Neodiprion lecontei: one gene and its partners. The protein of the gene in region 2 purifies or fractionates together with the protein of the main gene of each other region. This does not show direct contact. Links are inferred from orthologs where the notes say so. Each region holds a gene or a part of one and is shown on either strand. Other genes may lie near its edges.

Region 1 (5,082 bases), on a different chromosome or scaffold from region 2:
GGGAATGAAGTGATGGCTTATGCACCCTTGATCGGCAGTAATTTGAACGAAAATAGTAGAGACGACCCTTATTACTTTGTTATGAATAGCATTCTATTTTTCAAAGGTACTGCAAATCCCTGGCATTGCCATGTAAGTCGATCGAGCGGACACAAGTATTATTACAATCCAAAATCAAAAGAAACAAAGTATGACTACGAGAGACCAGCCGATGCCATTGCTAGCTTCTGCGAAAGTTTCTCTGAACGACTTGTTTGGTATTGGCCACCTTCTCAGGACTTGACTAGAAACAATCTAATAGATTTACTCAAAGCTAAGCATCGCCCGCCATAAGATTGCACCTACGAAATACATTGAATCCTGTTGGATGATTGGAATATATAAATTTGAAATATTTGTGATGGTATATTTGAGTGTTGTGATTGATCAGTTCGAACCTTGGTGTAACGCAAAATAGTTTGTGCGCTGTACCCAAACCAATTTTCTTATTTTAATGTTATCGGACAAAATAGGTAATGCTAGATGACTACTATTAATCTGATCATTTGAACTCAATCGTATTGTTCATCTTACGAAAACTGACTATGATGCTGAATTTATTTTTTATGTAAACTGATTGATGAAAAGGATCAAATGAATGTAACTTGTATCTAGTAAGATTGGCTACTATATTTTGAAAACAGTCAAAATTGATGATGTTGTTGAAATTTATTAGTTTAAATTGATGAAAACTTTGAAATGAATGAGACTCCTTAATATGTGGTGCATAGTAGCAACTATTTACAAATCATTCTCGGTTTCAAGGGTAGAGATATTCAAATAACTATTCTGCTTTTAATTGTAAGGATTTGCTGTTGTTATTCTACCTTTCAGTTATTTTCACATACAGTAAAAAAGATATTTATTTTTCTCAATCAATTATATTGCAAAATAAATTTGTAATTATTATTTAATATTACATGACTTTCTTTCATTGTTCTTGACACATTCAAATTCAACATCATCCAGAGATTACTTGTCAAACAAGAATATTCTTTGTATATCCTGTTTCTTTGCCATAAAATGTAAAAAAACATACAACATGAATACGTTATTCACATTTCAACGTTTGGTATATTTTTTACAAAAACTGGTGCTTTCACTGCCATTGAGTTAAAATGTAAGCTAAATACATCTAAGGATTCATCTGCAATTGGTACAATTTATTCTTGGTCAATAAATACAGATAACGATTTGAAGCTGCAGCACCCAAAACAGGATTGGCTTGCACTTCACACCCCAAATCTACAATGCGTTGATGTCCTATTTTTGAGTTTCCAACTGGTTTTTCATACAGAAAAACATGTCTTGCATGCTCTACTATAGCTACGTACGACCCATCTGCAAAAATGATGTTTTTCTCAAACGAATAATGAAGTAATGGCTTAAAAATCTGGCAAAAAAAGAAAGTGAGACTGAGACATTAAATGTATGAAATAACAGGCTAGGGTGAGATGAGACACTGCTAAGAACTGGAATAAATTTACAACAGATATTAAGCTCACAATCAGACTTACTAGGGGGAGAGACGCAAAACTTTTTGTTAGTCTTGCTTGCCTCTACGTATCCAAATCCAGGAAATGTAGAAATATGCTTCAATCTCCAATGTTCGTCATTACTTTCACCAGCAACCCAAACGCAGCCATCATGATCATGTCTCAAACACAAGAGCTGGCCGTGTTTGACTCTTTGTGTGAACAAAACGCGGTTATTTGCACCTAAAATTACTAAATGAGTAGTCTTGTGAGAGTCTATATTAATTCTTTGGAATTGATTTTCTCTCTCTTGAATATCACATTCTTCTAGCTGCTCTGAGTTGAATCCCAACATTGGATGCCCAACTCCGGTTCCTGGCTCTTCAGTGCATAAATAGGCTAATCTGGGATGGATTCATATTAAAAACAAAAAAATTAATGTTCAGGAATATTTACAAATGATAAACGATATCCCTGGAGACCTACCTGCTGTGAACTTCGGCTGCTAGAGCCTCATTTGGTAAGCATTCACCGCCAGTGTCCCCTTTAATCAGCTCATTCCACATTAACCCTGTCTCATTTTTGAATAAATCTATTTTTAGCGAATCTTTCTCATGTGACCAAGTTGTTAAATCTGGATCCAATCTATGCCCACTTTCCCCAGCCATCAATATCTGATCTTCATATTTTATGACAATATTATTAGGCTTGACCTCAACTTTAATTTGACTCTTATCAATGCCATCGAAAACTTTCAACCAAATAGTAAGTGAATCTTCATCCTGAGACCAGCAGTATTTTGGGATATTAATCTCTTGATTGCCTTCAGTTGGAATTTCCTTATTCACTGGTCTTAAAGAATCGTAAACAAAGGTAGCAGAGTCTTGACTCATTAAGTGTAAATAATTTCCGTTTGATTCTAAATTAGCATACTCAACAGCTCCCTTCACCCTCAAGATCCTCTTTCCAATAAATTTAACATCCAGCGATGAAGGTTCTGAACCCACTGTATCAATAGCTGGTGAAGAATATGTATACAAAACAACTTCAGAATGTTTTTTGCTGTCAATTTCAGTTATAAAGCACATTACAACGTTGATTATTGATTTATCTTCAACGTAGACTGAATCTAATATTATACCAGCATCTATATCCTCAAACACGAATGTTAACAAGGGTTGTGAGTCATTTTTAATAATTATTTCCAAATTTTTACACCCATTGCAGCCAACTATGATGTCTTCTGAAGCAAAACTCAGTGATGGATTATACACCGGGGCACCAGATTCAATTGAGAATTTGGTCAGGGTATGTACCAACTCTAAAAAACCATTTGTATCCATTTTCCATAATTCATTATCTTTGTTGACGAAATAACACTTGCCATTAAACGGATTTTTGTACAAATGATTATGGTAAGCGAAAGACCTTGCTTCAAGCCAGGAATCTTGAGAACTACTGGGTTCGACTCGCAGCACCTCTGAAATAACAGGCAGCACAGTCATATGAAGGCCAAGGTTTCTTTTACATCGTTAATTAAACAATTAATAATAAATCCAAAACTTTTAGTCGATACATGTTGAAAATCTGACAGCCAATCTTCCGTAGTGTTGATTGTTTACCTGTCTCCAGATCTTTTTCTAGAATAAGTATTGGCTCGTCGAGAAATTGATATTTTTCAAAGTTGGGGTACAAAAGACCCTTGTCTGGTCGTAGTTCTATGATATCAGGCATCGGAGCAAGTGCTTATTTGCGTCTCAAAACTGTTTATTCATTAATATCACTTGAATCTACGACTTGGTAATTCGCATCTACACTGACGTTGCGTCGTCGCGCGTCTTCAGGCGTGATACATACCCTAACCTAATTTCTTTCATCAGTGTGTACGGCGTACCGGACTTTCCTTAAGGTTGAAACATTAGTAAGTATATAAATGAAAAGCAGAGATATAATGTAAAATTTTCGGGAAAGCGCTCATTCAGATGATTGCTTGGACAGGTTCATATCATTCAGAGAGATATCATTCCTCGATAAATTTATACAGAGCCACTTTATTCGAGGTTAGGTAAGTCCCAGTTAGCGTGCGATGGATTTTCAAGAGAGAGATTCGTAATCGTATTTAGACTGGAAATACGTTATACTCGATAGTTGTTCTATTTCATTACGCATGGAATATTAAGTGACAGGCTGTATTCCAAAATTTTCCTTGAAAGATACTTTGGAGTAACACATGTGTCCTGACGACAAATAGATATCGTTATACATCTTTGATTTTTCTTTACTGTATGTTCGTCTATCAGTAATAATTCGTGCACCTTTATATCTATGTGAATTTTTTTTTTCTACAAAAAAAAAAAGTAATGGATCCTGCAGAAGAAGCGATGATAGAAGTTGACGATAGAGAAGCAGAAGATGATGGAGATGATGATGACGATGACGAAGCGGAAGATGAAGATATGGAAGCAGAAGACGATAATGATACAGAGAAAAAAAGTAAAATTTACTTGCCAGGACAGCCACTAGAAAAAGGAGAAGAATTGGTAGTAGATCATTCAGCATATAGAATGTTACATCAAGCTCAAACAGGGGCTCCGTGTCTAAGCTTTGACATTATCAGGGATGACCTCGGTATCTCACGGGAGACATATCCCATGTCAATGTACATGCTAGCTGGTACGCAAGCTGCAAGAACACATGTCAATAACCTACTTGTCATGAAAATGTCTAACCTGCATGGCACTGCTCGTAACAATGAGGAATCTGACGAGTCTGATTCAGATGACGATGACGATGAAGACGAAGCTCGAGCTCCTGTTATGACAGTTGCTTCTATAAAACATCAGGGCTGTGTGAATAGAGTGAGGTAAGCATTGTGCTCTGTCTAATGATATGGTTGAACTAGTTTTCCGTAGAAAAATTCTGACACAATAATTAGGAGCATTGAGTTGAGTTTCCTATCCACAGAGTTTAACACTGTTTGTCACAGATGTACGCAAGTGCGGAACAAAGTCTTTGCTGCAAGTTGGAGTGAACTGGGTCGTGTATCTCTTTGGGATTTGAACGAGCAGCTGAGAGCAGTAGACGATCCCTTGTTGCTGAGTAATTACCGTAAGCGAAATGACCAAGGCAATGATGGAGCCAAACCAATATTTACATTCAAAGGACACCTGCAGGAAGGATATGGCTTGGACTGGTGTCCTACCGAAGAAGGAACTCTGGCATCGGGTGATTGTAAAGGCAACATTCACATCTGGCATCACAATAATAGCAGCAGTGGTGAAGACTGGCTTGTAGATCAAAGGCCTTATAATTCCCATGCTCCACATAGTGTTGAGGATCTCCAATGGTCCCCAAACGAAAGGCATGTGCTTGCCTCATGTTCCGTCGATAAAAGGTTTGATATATGCTCAAGTATATTCCGTGACCTTATTCTTAGTTAATTTTGACAAAATTTTTGACCGAATTATTGTCTTCAGTATAAAAATTTGGGACACAAGAGCAAGTCCTCAGGCAGCGTGCATGCTGACAGCAGGTGAGGCACACACAGCTGATGTAAATGTAATCTCGT
Region 2 (7,787 bases):
ATCCGTCTGGCGAAGTCCGACAACTTGAAAAATGTACTGATTTCAATACATTCTTTGTTTCTTCAATCAGATGCTACAATGAAAGTTACTTACTTGATTCATTCTTACCTTTGGTGTGCAGTTGTTTTTAATAAGATGTTCTGTTACTGAGAAACGTTTACGTTTTTCACTTTCATATTCGAGACTTTTTAATGTTGCAATTTTTTTGTCAGTAACATCGTCTGTCACAATCACATTTTAGGCAAGTACTAATAGCTAGCAGTAAATTGTTAATTTCAAAGCGTGCAAAGACGGACTCAAATGTTACGTACTTGGCTTATTTCGTGTGCTTCTAATGTATTTCTGATGACTTTCTTCCGCACCATTTGACATCCCTCTCACAGGGCACACCATTATGTGGCCAAGATTATTGTTGATTTGTGCAAGAATGTACAATTAAATCATAAGTAAAAATATTGAACAGTATAATATTTATACAACACATACACAATAGGTAAATTTATTTTGATTTGTCCATGTATAATCTTATCCTGTTAATGACACATATTTTCTTATGTGTCCTGTACATAAAATTATCCAGGGCTGATTGGATACCATCAATTTATCACAAAAATTGAGAATGACTTGAAAGTTTTATACTCTTCCCATTATTTGAATCAACATGTCCCAATCCGTTGTGTTTCTCACAAAGTTAACTTCATCTGCAATACGTGGTCGTAAATTTACATTAAAAATTAAATAATTGTTCTACATTACAGTGACATAATGTTGGAAGCAGTTTTTCGCTTCGTCAAATGGTGTTAATAGCAACCAAGAAATTTTTATATAATACTAACCAAGCAATGGAGACAAACCGTTTGTGGTTTATTGCAGCAATGGTAACATTTCAAGATGAGAACATAATATGTATGATTGATAGCTTCAAGATATGAATATTCAGTCTAATTTCTACGCCGTCGAACTCTGGATATACGCCATGCATTAGGTTCTTCGTATTTGTTGTATAATGGTTCTAATCGTTGATTCTTCTTGAATTTACTCAATTTCGTAGGATCACTGAATTTGAAAAATGCCGGTGCAAATTCGACCAGCCACTTCGGATCAATCGTCGTAACCTCTCGCATATATTCTTTTGTCGTTTGGACAAGTTCGTGGTAAATCACCTGGAATATCAGTAAATCAATTTTTGGCTATCTATTTCTTACAATAATGATGAGTTCAAGAGCATTTAATATCAATACTATGTACCCATTCAGGTTGCCGATTGAATAACGCGCTACTTGGATGAATGTAAACAACTTGGCTATCAACTAGTGTTCTGTATCCTTCTTGAGGATCTTTTTTCGCCGCGTTTCTGAAGAATCCAGAACATACAGTTTTTTGTACTCTCACTGTATTTTTTGCAGCAGACACCACATCCAATTTGTGCCTAGAAAATGGTAATAAACAATGCAATTGTACTGCAAATATTTTTTGCTCAATTTTTCAGACATTTTAACAGTTGCTTGTAAATATAAGTAAAATATTTATTACTTACCTGTCCATTATACCTAGCAGCTGTTTGCGAACATCTTGAGCTCTTTTCAGAGTCCTTATTTGTACGAAATTTTCGTAGCACCAAGCATTACTGAATTTATTATTTCGCCAGGAATTGTACACTGCTAATAATGTCAAATGATCGCCTTCTGCCTGGTTGAACTTTGCCTTCTTTTGGTCTGCAAGTGCTTGTTTATCTTTTGGTCTAGAAATCAGAAAAAAAGTATTTAATTTCCGAACGTATGACTATACAAACTCGTAAGTTATAATATCAGAAGAATCGGAAAATAGACATATATTCCGAATAACTGATTTTACCTGTAGAAAACGTTCTGTACTGAAAGCATGCTGACAATGGTAAGAATTTCGTCTGAGCATTGCAAGTGGACGCTCATAATTAGCATTTTGGATAAATTCGGTTCTAGTGGAAATTCAGCCATCCGCCTTCCCAGTCTTGTCAATAACCCTTCATTGTCAAGAGCACTCAAGCTGTGCAAGGATTCTAATGCCATAATCAAAGATTCAACAGGTGGGGCATCCATGAAGTCAAAGTGTAAGAGATCATTAATTCCCATGGTTTTTAACTGTAAAACTGTCGTTGCTAAATTCGTTCGCTGAATTTCGGGCACTGGTGTTGGCAACATTTCATCCCTACACAGAATAGATAGTTACAATCTATTGCCAAAACTTTGTCAACATTCAATATTTTGCTAAGGAAAACGTAAAAAAGTTGGAAAGACAATTCTCAGTTACAAGGAAAAACCATATTTTTAATTGAAAACTCACTAAAACTACAATAAAATGATGTTCGTTACCTGTAAGCTCTTTCTGTGTATAATCTATAACATTTTCCAGGACCGGTCCTCCCAGCTCTGCCAGCTCTCTGTTTAGCAGCTGCTTGACTAATGGGCGTGACAATAAGACTGTCCATTCCAGTCTTAGAATTATACACTTTTTGCTTAACAAAACCCGGATCAACGACGTAGTATATACCATCGATCGTGAGGCTCGTTTCCGCAATATTTGTCGCTATAACAACTTTTCTGGATCCAGGTGGGGCAGGTTCAAATATTCTTGTTTGCATTTCGGAGGGTAGTGCAGAGTAAACTGGTAAAATGATCAACTCTGGCACATCTGGGCCGAGAGATTTCATTCTTTCATATAAAATTTCACAAGCAGTATCAATTTCTTCCTGCCCAGTTAAAAATAACAAAACATCTCCAGGCGGTTCGCGTAAGTGAATCTGCATCACAGTTATTAAAGCAGCATCTAAATAATCTGTCTCTGGTTCTTTTGTGTACATCACCTAAAAATCGATAATAAAGATATGGTCAAATTACATTTTAAGGTTTGTGATGAGTTTGGAGTACTCAATGAAAAATTTAATTCAATCTATCGAAAACTACATTGGTCAATGCTACTGTAATTTTTATTTCAAAATTATTGACGATTTAATCTTACTTCAACAGGAAATGTCCGCCCAGGAATTGTAAATATCGGTGCTTCAAAGAAGTATTGTGAAAACTTAACAGCATCGAGAGTAGCACTAGTGACGATGAGCTTCAAATCTGGCCGTCGACCTACAGCTTGTTTCAATAAACCAAAGAGTACGTCTGTGTGGATAGTACGCTCATGTGCCTCGTCCAACATTATAACAGAATACATTTTCAAATCAAGGTCCATGAGGCACTCTCGGAGTAACATACCATCTGTCATGTACCTATATTACAATAAAATGAGGTGAAATTTCGCATTTTAAATAAGTTTTCAAATGTAAGAAAAATACAAAATCTTCAAACATACTTTATGCTGGTTTCAGGGCTAGTGCAGTCTTCAAAACGTATTGTATATCCGACTTCCTGTCCTAATCTACAACCAAATTCCTCGGCAACTCTTTTAGCAACAGACATTGCCGCTACTCTTCTCGGCTGCGTGCATCCTATTTTACCTCGTGATGTGAAACCAGCTTCCGCAAGATATTGAGTAATTTGTGTTGTTTTACCAGATCCGGTTTCGCCAATGACGATAAGAATTTGATTATCTGTTACTGCTTTCACCAGTTCGTCTCTGAGCTTGTAAATTGGTAAGCTCTGTCTCTGTTCCAACAGTGTTAAGTTGGTTTTCTTACCAAATGACGATTTTTTACCACCAATGACGTGTTTTTTCCATTCGGGGAGGTCTTGTGTCTGTAATCCTATGCCACGCATGTTTGCAGCTAAAGTCCGACTTTCCGCTGAAATAAACAAATTAATATGTTTTCGAGTCATAATACCATTTCGTTTAAAAAATATAATTTGTGCCTAGTGTAAGTAATTTTGAACTAAAAGCAAATATTTAAACTAAAATTCACTGAAAGTTATAGTTTTACCATCAGGTAAAGGATCAATCCAATTTTTGTTCAGTCCTGCAGGTATTGAATCCATTTCTTGCTCTCTTTGCAGCATTTTCTGTTCTCGTCTCTCTTTTGCCAGAGCGCTTTGCATCATAGCAGCCTGTGCCAACGATCCATCAGGATTCTTTACAATCCGAACAGGACTCAAATCACCAAGAGCTCTACCATGCCCATGTAAAAATGGTGGTTCCTCTTCTACCAATTCAATTTCAACATCTTCTTCTTCATCATCTTCACGAGGCAAGATTCCAGTTTCAATATCGAATTCTGGAAGTTCACTCCTACCATATAAAAGTAAAAATGAAACAATGAATATATAATTGCATAAATCAAGTGTTAGAACATGATGTTGTATTTATTTGAAGCATACCTCTCGATACAAGCTGCTGACATCATTTGTTTTATTTCCCATTTTTCAGGGGAGGATAATCTTTGCACACGTTTCCTGGAATATGTTTCGTCCTCATCTAAATGTCCTTGCAGTTCTAGCAAAGATGTTGGTCTGTCAGGATTTCGTAAATGTTTTTCATCCTCGTCTGCCTTGGAAATGCTCACAACTGGATTCAAGTCCCGTCCAGTCTCTTGGTCAACATCTTTCATGCTTAGAGAAACCTGATAAACGAATTGATTAAACCGTTTTTTCATTCCTAAAATTTGTACATCCTAGTGCAAACAGACTGCTGCAGGATTCATCAATGTATGGTAACAGCACTTTGAATATGGTTTTTATATCATGCCATTAAACTTTACTGTTCCCCTTGGAACATGCATTCTAGATTTGCATAGTGAGAAATGTTCCTCACCTTTTGAGCAGCTACACTCAGTACTTTGACCAAAACTTTTTGGCCTCTTGAAACAATGTCACTGGCACTGGCAACACGACCTTCACGCCGAAGTTGTGAAATATGAACCAAACCCTCCCATCTGCGCTTTAAACCTTCTAGTTGCACAAAACACCCAAACTGAACAATATTTGCAACTTTTCCAGTATAAATTTTTCCGACTTCGGGATCAACTGCAAGTTCTTCTACAGAACGTGATCTTGAGCGGTCAGTTTCATGCCGTTTGTTGCGTTTATAGTTCTTGCGATCACGTGATCTGGAACGTCTGTTTCTGGATCTTGAACGTGCGTCTCTTGATCTAGACCTCTTTCGATCTCTTGATCCATGACGTCTTCGATTCCGATTTCTGTCTCTAGATCTAGACCGATCACGTGATCGTGATCTGTGTTTTCTATCTCTATGATTACGTGATGTTGATCTGTCCCGCTTGCGATCTATCGATCTGTTTTTTCTCCTATCTCTATCTTTGTCTTTTTTGTCATTAGGGGGTTCAACTACAGGTCCTTCTTGGTCTTTTTTTGAATTGGGTTGAGTTTTTGAACCTGAAGGAGCGAGGGCTTCTAGCGCAGCCATGGTGTCATTAACCACATCTTCATCCTTCTCCTCTTTGATAGGCTGGAGTTTCTTATGCTCGTTTGGTATAGCCAGGCCGGGGAACTTTAGCGACAAGTCATCCTGTCTGTGGTTTGAACCGTGAGATTTTTCATTCAACTGTTTCGACGGTTTCATGTGTTGTATAATCCTGAGAAGATTTGCCATGAAGGAGTCCTGAATTTGGCAAATAACGGTCAACAGCACGTGTACATAAAAGAGAAATAAATTATGAAACAAATAACATCAAATGCTGGTATCTTGAATACAATTTTCCAACTTACCGAGAATTCTGCCCCATTTTCGATGAGAACTTTTTTGAACGACTCCAAACTGTTATTCTTTTCTGCCAGGTCAACAATAAATTCAGCTGAAACGTTAAATAAATAAACTGGAATTAATCATTGCACTGAACGCTTGTTTCTGACATTAGGTTAGGTTAAGCGTCGTTGTATTACCCAAATCCTTATCATTTAAGCCTAAATGGTTCTCTAATTCTGTGCATATTTTTGAAACAAGAGACAAATGCTCCAGTTTCGCAACTTCATCCATGTCCATTATTACGTCTGTTATTAATATTAAATCGGAAAATATTCACAATTCCAATCTCCCATCACTTCGAGGTTAGAATTGATGAATTTTTACGTGGCTCCAACGGTAAGTGTGGGGACTAGATGAAAAGCTATACGAGCCTGACGTATGCCATAATAGAAATTCAACATCCGTGACTGCTGAAGTCTTGATTTAACTAATCGCGCTAATCGGCAACGGTATCAAATAAATAATGAAAAATGCATCAGTGAGATTTCAAACTTATTATTTTATTCGTTGAATAACTTCGATCAGAAATTTATTACATACGATATACTGACGCGACATTCTTTATTGTGGCTACATATGACCAGAGATTTTTAAGTCTTTCAGTTATTTCAATCAATCTGAATGAAACTTTCGCGGAAAAAAATACTGATTCATGTTTGACTAACTGCATTCCGAAAATTGTCATAAAATTGTTCAATAACAGAGTTTTAGTAGTTTTATACGCTTCTTTATTGGATTTTTAAAATGCATCGAATCGAAAATTCGAAAATTTTCTGATAGGCTGGGTGAGACTTGCCCGTTTTTCATTGGTTCAATAAAGGGATTTAGGATAAGTATATATATAAAAACAAGTTTGAATCTCGTAACCGATATTTGAAGTCCGGTACTCGCGTTCCGTACTCACGTTAGACATCTTTGATCATAGGCTGTCTACGACGCTAAGTTTTCTTGCAATTTTTAATTGATAATATTAGCTTCGTATGCATACAAAGGTACTGTGATCATCCTTTCTTGCTGGCACGCACTTTTCGAATGATATTCGCACGAATAGAATAATACTCTGAATAATTGGCAGCGTCTTGTGAATTTGGTGCCTAATATTTTTAGTGGATCGCATGCAGAAAGGTTTGTTAACTTCGTGTCATGTATTTGAATAAATTTGAGGCAGTGAACTTTGGATATGTTCGTTATGGATATGTTATCGATACCTTGCGAGTTGTCGGTGTAATTTTAGTTTAAATTATAACGCAATAAGCAGAAAGGATTCGGCGATAATTAATCAAACGTTACTCGTTCAGTAAAAACAACTCTAGCACGAGTCAACGCTTTGATGCGACAGAGAAGACGCCTATAAAATCACGTTTTCAATTAGACAATCTGATTTGTTACTGATAAAAATAAAATTTAACCTAAAGCAAAATTATTGGTGAGATTTGCTTCAAGTCACAGTTACACATCGTTCAATTCGTAATTTTATGCTGAGCTAGTTTTCCTATTCCTTCCAAATCAACACATCTTTACTAGTTATTTGCAAAGTTTATTTAAAATAATGATATCCCTATCCGAATGTTTGTAGATGGAATCACGATTACCTAAGCCAAAGGTAGTGTTAAGAAAGGGGCTTAACACTGTGAATGTAAATACTGAAGAGAGTGTAAATGGTCATTCTCAAAGAAACAAGAATTTAGTAAAAGCACTATCAGATGAAAATCTTAAGAATGACACACAGAATTCGAAAAAGTACAAAAGCACGCATAATATTCCAGGGCAAATAAAAGCAGAAATAATAGTGCCCCAAAAACCTGTCTTAGTCAGAGCAAAAACACATGGAGTAATCACAAGAAGTACAGGTACCACAAAAGTTGCCATCAAGAGACCTGGAACTACAAATGAACCAAGTGAAAATAAAAGACCAAACATCAAACCTGCGCCAAAACCAATCACGACGTCAAAAGTAATGAGAAATACTACTGTTACGACTACAAATAAAACTAATAACTCAGAAGTCACGAAAGCTGTAACCAAGCAAAGACCTAAATGGGATTTGAAAGGACGGTTAGAGGAAGCTAGCAATGAATTGGGTATTGTAAAAGAAAAGCACAAGT
Region 3 (4,099 bases), on a different chromosome or scaffold from region 2:
GAAACCAATTCAATTGTTGATTAAATATTGTCTAAAGGTGAATTAGTTATCCGGTGAAAATTTGTACATCTCGTGAACAATGTATAAATTTATGGTCAAAATTTATAGCTCTATGAATCCGAGGCAGCACATGACTTGGCCATGTCAAAAATCCCTCTGCAAAGATTAGGAACTACAGACGAAATAGCAGGAATCGCAGCTTTCTTAGCGAGTGAGGACGCATCTTACATTACTGGTGAAACTATCGTCGGAGCTGGTGGCATGTTATCAAGACTCTGAGAAGTCTACATCAAATATCAACAATATAAATTTTGCATTGTCTGACTCAACACCCCAGAGTCCATATTATTCACAGGTAATTTTTCAGAAACAATTTTAGAAAAAAATAATGATAACATTTACAAAAATACATTTGTTACATGCTTTTCCCCGAATTATCAAAGTTAACAAGGATTCTTTCTTTGTATGCTTGGCTTCATATTATGCATTATATATTATGTATTGATGAGAGTGCTCATTATCATCGCTATTTTATCGGCTAAAAAATTGGGATACTCTTTGAATTTATACAATGTATTATAGAGTTTATTAGAAAGCTATAATAAAATAACATTTTTTTATCAGTTAATTATGTCAGCTCGCCACAAGCTGTGATGACCACTTTTTGAGTAGGGGTACCTCCTTTGGTTCCACATTTTTCCATTTTTTTTAATACATCTAATCCACTAAGAACGTGACCAAATACGACATGCTTTCCATCAAGCCAGTCCGTACGTGCCGTGCACATAAAAAATTGAGAACCGTTTGTATTAGGGCCTGAATTTGCCATTGACAAGGTCCCAGGACCCGTATGTTTGAGCTCAAAGTTCTCGTCGTCAAATTTATTTCCATATATAGACTTCCCTCCAGTTCCATTATGGTTTGTGAAATCTCCACCTTGGCACATCTGTTTTATAAAAATATTAGTTTAGGAAAAAACCTTTTGTTTTTTCTTTTGATTGGTGTCTGGCTTGAAAAAAAATATGGGGTGTTTCAACCGACACTCAAAGTCAAGGATACGAAATCTGGAATGATTCTGTGGAAAGTGCTGCCCTGATATCCATATCCTTTTTCATGTGTGCAGAGGCAACGAAAATTTTCTGCAGTTTTGGGAACAATATCAGCTCTAAGCATCATGATGATTCTGCCCAGCTCCTGTTTTCCTATACTGACATCAAAGTAGACCTGAGGATTTTGCTTTCCTTTTTTTGCTGGAGGTCCGCTATCAACTTTTGCCGTAGAGTCATCAGTTTCTAGTGTCTCTCCAGCATGTTCCTGGAGCCAAGTATCATCTGCCCAAACTGGCTTAGATGAACCCTCCTTTATCTTTTGCGGTTTGGCTATGTTTACTCTTATGGTTCTGCCAAAAAGCTCAGAGTCATTCTAGTGAATGAAAAACACAAGAATAATAAATTTATTAATTTGTCTCTCACTGCCTCTGATTATATCGTTTATTAGTCTTTTTGTACCATATTGTCAATTGCTGAGGCAGCATCCTCAGCAATTTCAAACTCTATGAATGCAAATCCTCGGTGCTTCTCAGATTCGTAATCTAGTGGTATTTGAACATCGACGATTTCTCCGAATGGTATAAACGCGGCGTGAAGCACCTTTTCGTCTACTTCCTCAGCCAACCCACCTACGTACAATTACATTGGTCGCAGGAACATTGAGGAAAAACAACTTACACTATTAACCTAACCTATTATAAATTCATATCTTTATTTCCTCAATTATATGATATTTGAACATCAAGTGAATGATTAACCGAAGAAAAAAATAACTCGGGTAGTGGAAAAATAGAAACAGACAAGATAATTAGTACCTTCGAGAAAATACAGAAATCGAGCGAGAATAATTGAGGTTAGTTTCATTCAATCCAGTGATTATAAAAATACAAGGCGAATCATACCGACATATATAGTCCTCTTCGCGTTGTTACTCATTTTACAATCGAGATCAATCTGTCGTCTGCAGATAAAAGTCAAACAACAACGTGTTAATAAAATTCGTTCGTAAACATTGTCTGACGCCGGTAAGACGCACTGAGTGTTGTCAACAAGTCGCACTGCTTGTCGCGCAATTACAAGCCGTCGCCATGCAAAGCGATCATTAAAATTCGATTCCAGTAAGACCATATCAATCCGAACTGGTGTCGAGTTCCGAGAGTAGACTCGGTAGAATCATGCTGGCGGCTTATTAGTACGAGCAAGGCTGTCCTCTTTTATGCAGTTATAAGCGTCAGTGCTTCGAAATTCGAGATTCGAACCCGGTCGATCGTTTGGGGTTCATAGCGTTTTTAGAGGGATTACGTAACCCGACGAATCTGTCTCATCATAATAATCCGATAACCGGGTAACAGTTAAACATGTTTTCCCTAATGCGATACAGTCAGTGGCAACATTGTTGCAGGCGTGCACTGAGCATGCTGCGAAACCAAGCCTACGTTGGCGGCGAATGGCGAAATGCCGGTAGCGGCGAGACATTTGAGGTGCTGAATCCCTTCGACGGTTCGGTAGTCGGCAGAGTCCCGGACATGAGCGAGTCGGACGTGAAGCTTGCTGTGGATACAGCGCAGCGAGCCTTCACCGTGGGGGAGTTCAGCAACACGACGGCGAAGGAACGGAGCGACTTGCTGCGCGGGTGGTATAACCTGATGGTGAAGCATGCGGAGGACCTGGCGCAGATAATGACCATGGAGAGCGGCAAGTCCCTCGCGGAGTCGCGGGGCGAGGTAAAGTACGGTAATTCGTTCGTAGAGTGGTTTGCTGAGGAAGCACGTCGCGTCAATGGTGAGGTGATCCAATCGCCAGTGCGCGGTAGAGAGGTCCTATTGCTCAAGCAGCCTGTTGGTGTTGCGGCTCTCATCACTCCGTGGAACTTTCCGCATGCTATGATCACCCGAAAGGCTGGAGCAGCATTGGCTGTTGGTTGTACTTGTGTCGTTAAGCCTTCTGAAGAGACTCCGCTGACCGCTCTGGCGCTCGCTAATCTGGCAGAACAGGCTGGGTTTCCAGCTGGCGTCTTCAACGTTGTCACAACCAGTCCCAAGAACTCTGCGGCTGTTGGGAAGCTCTTGTGCGAGGATGCGAGGGTCAGGGTGATGTCTTTCACAGGCTCAACAGCTGTCGGGAAGATCCTCTACAGACAGTGCGCATCGACAATTAAACGGCTAAGTCTTGAGCTCGGGGGAAACGCTCCATTCGTTGTCTTTGAATCAGCTGACATTGACCTCGCTGTTGCTGGTGCAATGGCCAGCAAATTTCGCAACACAGGACAGACTTGCGTTTCTGCTAACAGGTTCTTTGTTCATGAGAATGTGCATACTGAATTTGTCGATAAATTTGTTTCTAAAATTAACTCTGATATCAAGATGGGCGATGGAAGTCGAGAAGGGATTACCAATGGCCCACTGATCAAAGAGTCACAACTCAAGATGGTCTCTGACCTGGTCAATGATGCCCTTACAAAAGGAGCGAAGCTCCACTGTGGAGGCAAGCCTTTACCTGAATTAGGCCCTCTTTTCTATGGCCCAACTGTCCTTACGCGTGTCACCAAAGGAATGCAAATTTACAACAAAGAAATTTTTGGCCCTGTCGCTGTTATAAACAAATTTTCAAGCGAGGAAGAAGTTCTTAGGGAGGCAAATAATACACCTGTCGGTCTTGCAGGGTATTTTTACTCCAAGGATATATCACAGGTTTTCAGAGTCGCAAGGAAACTGGAAGTAGGCATGGTTGGGGTAAACGAAGGGCTTATTTCGTGTACAGAAGCTGCATTTGGTGGCATCAAGGAATCTGGACTGGGAAGAGAGGGTTCTCACCATGGGATCGACGACTTTGTAGATGTAAAGTACGTCTGCATAGGAAACGTTGCCTATCAGTCATGAAAGTTATCTTAAGCACCTTGTGAGCATTCCTCAATGAGTCCAGACACTATGAGAACGCGACACATTCACATACTTAATTCGATGTCAATTTGCAATATCTACAAAAAAGATCGATCTCAGGGCTAGAGCTTTCAAGAAAGACAGAAAAAAAAGAACAAGAAAAAATGTCAG

Evidence for each region.
Region 1: the proteins of ATP-dependent RNA helicase DHX8 (region 2) and nudC domain-containing protein 1 purify together in Homo sapiens (affinity purification with mass spectrometry; 3 studies listed by BioGRID and IntAct, counting the BioPlex papers as one, with this or other methods). This does not show direct contact. The link is inferred for Neodiprion lecontei from reciprocal best matches to the Homo sapiens genes DHX8 and NUDCD1.
Region 3: the proteins of ATP-dependent RNA helicase DHX8 (region 2) and peptidyl-prolyl cis-trans isomerase E purify together in Homo sapiens (affinity purification with mass spectrometry; 3 studies listed by BioGRID and IntAct, counting the BioPlex papers as one, with this or other methods). This does not show direct contact. The link is inferred for Neodiprion lecontei from reciprocal best matches to the Homo sapiens genes DHX8 and PPIE.

What each region holds. Positions count from the first base shown.
Region 1 is NC_060260.1:33,101,068-33,106,149, forward strand, and holds nudC domain-containing protein 1, read right to left. Parts: upstream 3,279-5,082; 5' UTR 3,249-3,278; coding exon 3,137-3,248; intron 3,032-3,136; exon of another isoform or gene 2,995-3,031; coding exon 2,001-2,994; exon of another isoform or gene 1,919-2,000; coding exon 1,557-1,918; intron 1,381-1,556; coding exon 1,175-1,380; 3' UTR 614-1,174; downstream 1-613. Other genes in the region: cap-specific mRNA (nucleoside-2'-O-)-methyltransferase 1, read left to right, coding at 1-333; glutamate-rich WD repeat-containing protein 1, read left to right, coding at 3,875-4,377, 4,501-4,908, 4,991-5,082.
Region 2 is NC_060261.1:38,195,085-38,202,871, reverse strand, and holds ATP-dependent RNA helicase DHX8, read right to left. Parts: upstream 6,027-7,787; 5' UTR 5,920-6,026; coding exon 5,820-5,919; intron 5,732-5,819; coding exon 5,646-5,731; intron 5,539-5,645; coding exon 4,732-5,538; intron 4,541-4,731; coding exon 4,299-4,540; intron 4,210-4,298; coding exon 3,905-4,209; intron 3,770-3,904; coding exon 3,340-3,769; intron 3,257-3,339; coding exon 2,998-3,256; intron 2,843-2,997; coding exon 2,352-2,842; intron 2,188-2,351; coding exon 1,855-2,187; intron 1,742-1,854; coding exon 1,538-1,741; intron 1,430-1,537; coding exon 1,249-1,429; intron 1,164-1,248; coding exon 942-1,163; 3' UTR 471-941; downstream 1-470. Other genes in the region: carboxy-terminal kinesin 2, read left to right, coding at 7,259-7,787.
Region 3 is NC_060262.1:20,670,111-20,674,209, forward strand, and holds peptidyl-prolyl cis-trans isomerase E, read right to left. Parts: upstream 2,178-4,099; coding exon 1,952-2,177; intron 1,679-1,951; coding exon 1,509-1,678; intron 1,423-1,508; coding exon 1,060-1,422; intron 947-1,059; coding exon 629-946; 3' UTR 564-628; downstream 1-563. Other genes in the region: dehydrogenase/reductase SDR family member 4, read left to right, coding at 109-279; 3-sulfolactaldehyde dehydrogenase, read left to right, coding at 2,408-3,928. UniProt on the Homo sapiens protein: Involved in pre-mRNA splicing as component of the spliceosome. Combines RNA-binding and PPIase activities.